Regions from separate parts of the Mus musculus genome. Here regions 1 and 2 are each reported to be linked to region 3. Evidence: microRNA targets listed by miRTarBase, many of them from high-throughput screens and not tested one by one. Region 3 holds a microRNA gene; each other region holds the end of a gene's coding sequence.

What was found. The annotated mature microRNA mmu-miR-7b-5p reads UGGAAGACUUGUGAUUUUGUUGUU and lies in region 3 at 1,371-1,394, shown strand. An mRNA with a match to its seed (bases 2 to 7 or 8) in the 3' UTR can be bound and repressed. Matches are read on the target gene's strand: a 7mer-m8 pairs with bases 2 to 8, a 7mer-A1 pairs with bases 2 to 7 and ends in A, and an 8mer does both.
Region 1: the mRNA of Arhgap23 is a reported target of mmu-miR-7b-5p. The part of its 3' UTR that is shown has no 7-base or 8-base seed match.
Region 2: the mRNA of Fam168b is a reported target of mmu-miR-7b-5p. Seed matches in the 3' UTR shown: 7mer-m8 at 1,782-1,788.

The regions. Positions count from the first base shown.
Region 1 is chr11:97,500,532-97,503,531 of GRCm38, reverse strand. Arhgap23 (Rho GTPase activating protein 23) reads right to left here. Exons shown (of 19, transcript NM_021493.2): 19 at 1,132-3,000. The coding sequence ends at 2,407. Among named protein-coding and RNA genes, the nearest start is that of 4933428G20Rik, 1.7 kb to the right of the region's middle.
Region 2 is chr1:34,815,324-34,818,323 of GRCm38, reverse strand. Fam168b (family with sequence similarity 168, member B) reads left to right here. Exons shown (of 7, transcript NM_174997.2): 6 at 198-327; 7 at 920-3,000. The coding sequence ends at 310. Among named protein-coding and RNA genes, the nearest start is that of Gm32790, 24 kb to the right of the region's middle.
Region 3 is chr17:56,241,647-56,244,795 of GRCm38, forward strand. Mir7b (microRNA 7b) reads left to right here and starts at 1,342; the gene lies at 1,342-1,452. It overlaps A230051N06Rik (RIKEN cDNA A230051N06 gene), which reads left to right and starts at 70. Exons shown (of 2, transcript NR_155493.1): 1 at 70-168; 2 at 510-1,159.

The sequences.
Region 1 (3,000 bases), not on the chromosome of region 3:
TAAGTTGAGGTCAGCCTGATCTACACAATGAGTTCCACCAGTCAGGGCTACATAGTGAGACCCTGACTATAAAACAAAATAAAACAAATCCAAAGTTTGCTCCAATGTAGATCTCTCCCCTTCCTCTATGTGGTTAATATGATACAAACCACACCTTATGGACAATGCTTTTGCAATTATTGTTTTGTGCAGCTGAGTTCTCTTTTAAAGCGAAACAAGAAAAATACATGTCTCTATTCCCCATGGCCACAGTATTTATCCTCTGTGTGGGTTCAAGTTACCACCCAGTGTGTTTTCCTCAGCTCAAAGGCCCTTTCTGCCTGCAAAGAATTCTGTTTCCTCATCTAGACGTATCTTCTGCCTGCAAAGAATTGTTTCCTCGTCTAGACGTATCTTCGTTTGACCTTCTCATCTTTAGAGTCTGTTACTGTCTGCAGGTCACCCTGTGAGAAAGGAGTCCCACCCCTACCCCTAGCTTCTCTCTGGATCCACCCCTTATTAACAGGGTGACCTTGGCAAGCCACATCCTTCTCAGTGCCTCAGCTTTCTCACACCCAGAAAGGACATAGTGATGGCCCTGAGCTGAGTGTTGGAGATGTGGTTCAGGGCAAAGCCCTGGAGGTGGGTTCTGAGCACTCAGGGATACCAGTTCCAAGCTTCCCAAGGGTACAGGGCTGCTTCAGAGCCATAACTGAGGGTGCTGTGGGCTTACACATGGTTGAAAAAAATTGGTCAATCTCACACTAAATGCTGTTGGGCCTGAGGTGCCTGTGGCCACAGCTGGCCAAGTTTCTTGCCTGTGGGTTAGTGCCTGAGGCCACTCGGAAGGCATGAGAAAGAAGGAGCCTCCCACACCTGGCCTCTGCCAAGGAGACGCCTGGAAACCTCCTGCTGACGATCCCAGGATGTGGGTGGGGACAGCACTGTGGGTGGGGACAGCGCACCACTCATCCTGTGCGACTTTCTCTGTTCATACCAGTCTCCTAGGACACAAAAAGCCACCAGAGAGAAGTGGTTCCCTGCATCCTGCCACTCCGCCTGGCTACCCTGCTTGCCGAGACACATCCCTCAGATAGCTCCTCCCAGCGCTGCTCTGTTCTTCTCCCCATCCAAACAAGCGAGACACTGGTTCATGCCTGAGGAAGGCCATTTATTTCCAAGATATAGACTGTACTTTTAAGACAAGACTTTCAGAAGCAGGAATCTTAGTTATAGCCTAGAGAGGTGTGTCAAGGACACAGTGGGAGGAGCCATGCAGATGTGGGGGGCTTTATCCAACACTGTTACAACACTTTTTAAAATGAGCAAAACATCTTTAAAAATCCTTATAAATTCTTTATAATATGTTACACATTAGAGACAATATTTACAGTGAAAGGGAGGGGGGAGAGACTTTACAGCAAATCTTTGCATAAACCCGAAAGACTGACAGACCTGGGCAGCAGAGCAGGTCACCCCACTGGGGCTCCCCTGGAATGAGTGAGGGCAGAGGGGGACTAGTGCTTTAGGTCTATTTACAATGTGTGGGAAGAGAAGCTGGTCCCACCCACCCTGCAAGAACAGCCCAGCTGAGACTCTATACATCAGTGCCGGACAGAGTTCCTCCCGACTGAAGGCGAGTCCGCATGCTAAGCTGCCGAAGGATGCAGGGTGAACATGGAGGAGGAAGATGCCAGCTGTAAGGGGATCCAGACAGATCCACAGGTCAGAGAGCTTAGAGGGGTGACTTAGAGGTCGGCAAAGGATGTGAGGAGCGACTCCGGTAGTAGTGGGGTTCAGTCCTGCCTCTGTGGAAGTGGCCTCAACCCAGCCTCTGACAAACTTGGGGCTAAGGTGCCTGTGTGCACCAAAGGCAGGGTCCTGGCGGGGAAAATAAAAGAATTGGGGTAGAAATAGCTACTGGTAACAAACACCTTTGCACTGTGACTACACACACACACACATACACACTCTCACACACACACACACACACATGCCCCCTCTCCCATGGACACCCAACCCCACATAACCGCTCCTCAGACATTCATCCTCCCTCTCTCCCTGGCTAGGAGCTATTGGGGGGGGAGGCAGAGGACAGACCCTAAATCCAGCCTGTATTTTTCCTTCTGTATGAAACTTGGGCGGTCCACCCACACTGCATGGGTCACCAAGGGTCCCTAAGTAGACTCACAGAAAAGGGCTACTCGGTTCTTCATCCAAGGGACATGACTCCCAATAGCCCCTCCCCTCTCCTGAGGACTCCCACTTCGGTCTGGCTTTGATTTCTCTGCCCACCTCACCTAACTCCAGCCTGCCACACCAGCGCCGCCCTTCACACCCCACCCCCAACCTTCTGCAGCACTGGGGGTGGCTGAGGGGGGCACAAACGAGACGGGAATTTCTGCAGCCCCGGAACAGGGGAGGGTATCACAGACACTGGTGGAGGCGGGCGGCAGCTGAGCGGCGCTGGGGCAGACCCTGCAGGGCCCCTAGGTCCCCAGATGGCAGTGATGCGGCGGATGAGGCCCGTGCCTTGGTGGACTCCAGGCTGCTGAGGCCAGAGTCCTTATTGTCGCTGTGCGGTCGCACGCCCACGGACTCCTGAGGGCCCCCTCCACCCAGCTCCTTCCACTCGTTGAAGTTGAGGTCGGTCAGCGGGCTCTGCACCACCACTGTGTGGCGGCGCCAGCTACTCCGGCGCCGCCGCGTCTCGGGCGACAGTGGGCGCCGCAGCCGCACGGCCAGCATGTCGTCGGCGGTGCCACGGAGACGTAGCCGCAGGGCTTCCACGCGCGAAGGTCGTGAGCCGAGTGCCGGGGCGGCCGCCGGGGGCCGCAGCGACTCCTGGCTGCTGGACGATGCCGAGCCCGGTGGCTCCGGACCGCGGGGACACGCCCGGGCCGTACCCGCGCCCGGACCCTCGGCCTCCGCGCGGCTGCGAGACAGGCGACGGCGTGCCAGAGTGTCGCATGGCATGAGATGGTGTGAGCTGAAGGATGGCCGGCGCGACAGGCGCCCCCC
Region 2 (3,000 bases), not on the chromosome of region 3:
TGCACTAATAATGCCTTTCATCATTTTGGATAATCCGTTTGGAGGTTTGACCCTTCTGGTTCAAGACCAAGACCATTCCTCTTCCCTCCCCTCCTGCCTCCCCAGAGAAAGTCAGGTCAGGATGTGCTCTCAGAGACCACATGATGGAGCTCTCTAGCAGTCGCTTGTACTTCCTTATGAAGTGTTCTTTCTTCCAGGTACTCTGCTGACTGCTCATTCTCCAACTCCTGTAGCCCCTCACCCGGTCACTGTCCCCACATACCGAGCCCCAGGAACACCCACCTACAGCTATGTGCCCCCACAGTGGTGATTGCCCTGCAAATTAATGTGAGTATTAGTGAAGGCTGTGGCTAGGTGGGCCCTGCTGAGGTGCACTTCTCTGAGGAGACTGCAAGACTGACTAGATACAAGCACTGGTCTAGTATGCTTGTCTGTCTTTTGATACGGCACAACACTGAGCGAGAGCACCTTGGGGAAAGGAAGAGTGGCTTGGCCTGGCTTACAGTGACTACAGTTACAACCCATCATAACGGGAGTCTGAGCAGGAACTGATGTACAGCCGTGAGGATGGGTGCTGATTGGCTTGCTTCTCCAGCTTGCCCTCCTTGCTCACCTCCCTCCCTTACAGCCTCGGCCCACCCGCCCACGAATGGCACCCTAGGCCTTACCTCATTATGTCATTATTCTTATTGGGACATCCAATAAGGGAAGAGGGAGGGGGGGCATTGAGTGCTAACTGTTTGTCTTGCTGCTTCTGTAGTGCAGTGTGTAGGGCTCCAGGTATAATGGGGCAGGGGGCACAGGGTGTTGCTGTAAGGTGGGTGGGAACCAGGTGGCGCAGCTTTGGGTACCGCTGCCTTCTGGAACTGGTAAAGCACAAGTGCCAAGAGCCTGTCTGACTGTTGTTATTCTTTCCCAGATTTGAGGATGGAGCTGTGCAGTCACTTCATTGAGTTCCACAGCTGGTGCTGCAGGCCTTGTGCCTCCAACCAGGACTTTCTTCTTACTGCTCCGACACTTAGCTAAACATGACTGCGCCCCAGCCCAGCAGGTCCCAGCTCGCTAGTCTCCAACTAACTCTGGGTTGGTTTTAAAGCAAATCCTGTTTTGTGGACTGCCTGGCAAATTTTTTAGCTAACTGTAATGATAAAAAGGGAGTATTACTCTATTCTGAATCATATCTAGTTGAATGCATGTTTATAAAAACAAACAAAAACAAAGCTTGCTCAATCTACCTGCAGTGACTGATGCAAAACCATCATATGCAAAACCCGAAGGACTGGACCACGTTCACAGCCTGTCCTGTCCCTCACGCACCTCTGCGATGTACGCTGAGCCTCAGTTACACTTGTACAAGGGATGTCCTCACTGAAGCGTGGGGAGGACTGCAGGGGACTCTTAGGGGCTGGGGTTGCCAGTTATGGACACAGACTATAGCTTTCAGCAGCCTGGTTTTTTGGCACTGGCTGACTGATCCTGAGGGAGCTGCAGGGACTGGGGGAGAGAGAGCACACCTGCAGCAGCTCCAGACAGCAGCAGCAGCAGCAGCAGGGATGACGGGGTCCCTCTCCTTCATTTCAGCTGGAGTGTGCTCTGCAGAACAGGGGTCTACCTGAAGCTTATCAGGAAATACAGGAGCTTGGTGACGAGTCCAGCTGGGGTGAGGAGTGGTCTGTGTGTCAGAGCAGGGTCTGCCATCCGAGTTTTCTCTGTATGTCTTACAGGATAACGTTCTCTGTATCTGTTGGGACTGTTGGGAAAGTCCATTGTAGAAGTAAACTGTCTTCCTAGGAGGGAAGATGTCAAAGAGAAGCAGCCACACTGAGGCAGTGTTGTCTTTTGCTTTATTTTGCTTAGGGAACCATTCCTTTTTTTCCCCCTGAGAATAACTGAGTCACCTAAAGACATGGGCACTGCTGTATTCTCCCACAAAGACTTCAGCTGTGTGCTGTGAAGAGTGTTGTACATTTAAGACTGGTTACAAGGGAATAAGTGTATTTTTAAGTTAGTTCCTCATGTTTCTTGTAGAGAAGCAGGGCTGTGATGATGTGTAAAAATGTAGAAATAATGTAGCTTGTCTTGGGGCCATTCACCTGAGGATGCTCTCTGTAACTAGCGGGGTGAGGCCCGGGAAGCCTGCGGAAACCTGCGGAAGCCACTCTGCTGTCACTGAAGGCACTCAGTACCAAGCAGATGTGGAAAGCAGAAAGGGCCAGGCAGTTCAGGAGTGCTCTTGCTTGGAAGGCTCTGTGGTGGGAAAGATTTTGAGTGTGTACATAAGAAACCACAAAAGTTCTTTCTGCCTGAGTGTGCCCGACTTGAATCTGTGAGAGTGTTTCTGTTCAGTGTGGGTCAAAGGGCAGGGCACGAGGACCTCTCTGGGCTCTGTCAACTGGGGGTGAGCTTTGTATCTTTTGTCAGCCCCATTGAATTCCTGGGGCTTTGGTTGGAAGGGGTGCTTGTCTCTGGCAGCTAAGTCAGGGCTTCCATGTTGGTGTAGAGGTTGCCTCAGTAGCAGTCAACTTGGCTAGAGGCTGGGTCACCTGAATATGGAACCTTCGGTGACCTTATTTTTATAGTAATGCTCTCCATAGTTTTTTTTTAAGCATTTTATTTTTTGAGAAGTTTAGGAAGGTTGCTGCATGGATCAGTGTGAACAGAAGATTCCTCATTCCTTATGTCTATGAACATAGAAAGTTTATGGATGATTATGGTTAATTGCCTCATGAGCACTTAGGTGTGTGTGTGTGTGTATGTGTGCGTGCGTGCGTGCGTGTGTGTGTGTGTGCTTGGATGTGCGCGTGCATGGGGAGAGGGGTAGCACCAGCAAGCACACCCTGCACAGAGATAGACACGCTTGCTGGAGCACACAGCCTGCACCCGTACTTCCATGTTGGGATCCCGTCCCTGTGCTGAGTGACTTGCAGGGTTGGGATTTCCAAGTTTTCTCTGGACTCATCAGACAGAAGGGGATTTCTTTAGAACAAATGTACCTGTGAT
Region 3 (3,149 bases):
CTATGAGGTAATCCTTGGAGCTTCATTCCAAGACGATTCCTATTGGTTCACTGGCTAAGCCCCACCCAGGGTTTCCAGCGCTCCGCCTTCCCCTTAAGCGCATAAAGGTGAAACGTCGGAAACTGGACAGCCACCGAGACACCTGCAGCTGCTGGTGAGCAGGAGAAGGTAAGGCACGAAGGAAGGAGGAAAAGGTGCGCTGAGGGAGGGAAGCGGGGACTCTGGGTACAATGCAAGTTGGCACATCTTCCAGAAGGCCAACTGGACTGTTTAGGAAGGGCAGAGAACCCAGGGCTGTCTCCCTGAGATGTGGGAGCAGGTGAGAGCCTTGCGCCTTCGTCCCCGCCTAGAACACCCCGGGTCCATGGGAAGAGATTAAAACAGAAGATGGGTCCCTAGGACGAAGAACAGAAACAAGGAGCGGGGCATTTTGGCAGAAGGCAGAAGCTGGGAGAGTGTCCTCGAGCCGCACTGACCACCCCCTCCCCCAATAACTAATTATGTTTCAGCACTGGAGACGCGGACAGCGCCATCCGGCTGAGGGACTCGGAGCAGAGTTCGGCTTCAGCACCAGGATTTCGGACAGCTCCCAGCGGGTCACGAAGAGACTAGGCTTCAGCACCCGGCCCCTGGCAGTGCCAAGCTCTCAACACCCAGCTTCAGGGATCGCCTTGGGGTCTGTTCTGGCGGAGAGTGTACAGGGAAGGAACCTCTTAATGGTTCTTGGCATTTGTCCTTTACGGAGGGATTTTTTTTTTCTTTTTTGAAACAGGGTTTTTTTGTGTGTACCTCTAGCTGTTCTGAAACTCACTATGTAGACTAGGCTGGCTTCAAACTCACAGAGTACAGGCGAAGCATTTGGTCAACGAGATGTTATGAGTGCCTCTGGGTGTACTAATTTCCAAAGTGAAGTGGTGAGGGGAAAGCCAGCCTCAATCCAACTTTAAATCTCAAGTTCTTTTTATTTTTAAAAAGAGTTTTTCTCTCAATTATATATATAATTATTATTATTTTAAAACACTGTAGACCAAGCTTTGAACTCCTTGTGTAGCCAAAGATGATCTTGAAGTTCTCATCCTCCTGCCTCTACTCCCTGCGTGCTGGGGTGACAAGTGTGTGCTCCTCGTGCCTGGAACAATAAATCCCACGTTGGTGATGTGCCAGGGTGTGAGTTGGGGGGCAGGTAGAGAATGAATCTTGCCTGTGTCTCAGGGGATGGAATGGAAAAGGGATGTCTAGGGAGGGTAAGTCAGTGAGTGGGGTTTGTTATGCTCAATCCTCTATGGAGAGAGAGAGAGAAGCACTTGAGGGTGTTGAACCTGGCGGAGGAGGATGAGGACGAGGAGCGGAGTACGTGAGCCAGTGCTATGTGGAAGACTTGTGATTTTGTTGTTCTGATATGATATGACAACAAGTCACAGCCAGCCTCATAGCGTGGACTCCTATCACCTTTCTCCTGAAATACACAAACAGGTAGGGGCAGGAAACTGGGACAGGAGGGGGTTAAGGGAAGTCTAGCACGGACAGGAGAGGGTGTCTAGCAAGGTCTCGGGCCCTGGGAGAGTGCAGGAGTGTTTCCCATGCTATTGGCCTGTCACTCAAACACATCTACATGATAGGATCAGAGACACAACCTCAGGGCCCTGGGTCACAGCACCGTGCTTTCTCTGGAGACTCAAATAGGGAATGGTGAGCCAGTGGAGTAACTCAGAGGGAAAGAGTGCTTTGAAATTAGGGAACCCAAGCTTGAGCCCCAGGATCAACTGGGTAGAAGGATAAAACCAACTCCTGCAAGTTGTCCTCTGACCATACATGTCCTGTGACACACATGCTTCCACACACAAATAAATAAACACACATAAAAATTTTTCTTTTTTTTTTTTTTAAGAGAGGGTTTCTGGGGCTGGTGAGATGGCTCAGTGGGTAAGAGCACCCGACTGCTCTTCCGAAGGTCCAGAGTTCAAATCCCAGCAACCACATGGTGGCTCACAACCATCTGTAATGAGATCTGACTCCCTCTTCTGGTGTCTGAAGACAGCTACAGTGTACTTACATATAATAAATAAATAAATCTTTAAAAAAAAAAAAAAGAATTACATTTAAAAAAAAAAAAAAAAGAGAGGGTTTCTGTATATAAACCTGGCTGTCTTAGAACTTACTCTGTAGACCAGGTTACCCTCAAATTCAGAGATCCACCTGCCTCTGCCTCCTGAGTGTTTGAATTAAAAGCATGTGCATACATAAAACTTTTTTTTTTTTTGGTTTTTTGAGACAGGGTTTCTCTGTATAGACCTGGCTGTTGCTCTGTAGACCAGGCTGGCCTCGAACTCAGAAATCTCCCTGCCTCTGTCTCCCAAGTGCTGGGATTAAAGGCATGCGCCACCACTGCCCGGCCATAAAACTTTTAAAAGAGGGATTGGCATCAAAGGTACTTCTAGAAAACCCTGAAATTCTTTTCTCTTTCTTGTTTTCTTTTCCTCACTCTTTTCACTTTGCCTGCTTTGAGACAGTGTCACCTGTAGTCCAGGCTTTTCTCTAACTCTGAATGTAGCCCAGGATGGCTTTGAACACTGAGTTCTCTTGCCTCCAGTCCCTGAGAACCATGCCTAGCATACACGGTGTTGGATTCAGAATTTCAAATGCTTTGACTGGGTACGGTACCCATGGAGCCCCAGCCCAATTTTCAATAAAACTCTGTGCCCGCCACACAAAGCAACCACTAGTTGCATGACTGATACCAAGAAAATGTGGACTTGTTGTCTGGTGGGTCATGGCATTCTTAACATTCAACACCTATCATCTGTGACATTCTAATGCAGTCACTAACCATCCCCCACTGTGCAATTCTCCCCAGCTGTCCTAGTGTGCATCCTGGTGCTGTGACAGGACCTTGACTCAAGAAAAGGGCAGGAAAGAGTTTATTCAGCTTACAATGATGGCCACACTCCATCACTGAGGGAAGTCAGGGCTGGAACCGGGAGGCAGGAGCTGATGCAGAGGCCATAGAGGGGTGTTGCTTACTGGTTGCTTACTTGCTTCCCCTGGCTTGCTCAGTCTTCTTTCTTATAGAATCTGGGACCACCAGTCCAAGGATGGCACCACCCACAATGGCCTTAAATCATTAATCATGAAAATACCTGATAAAGGCC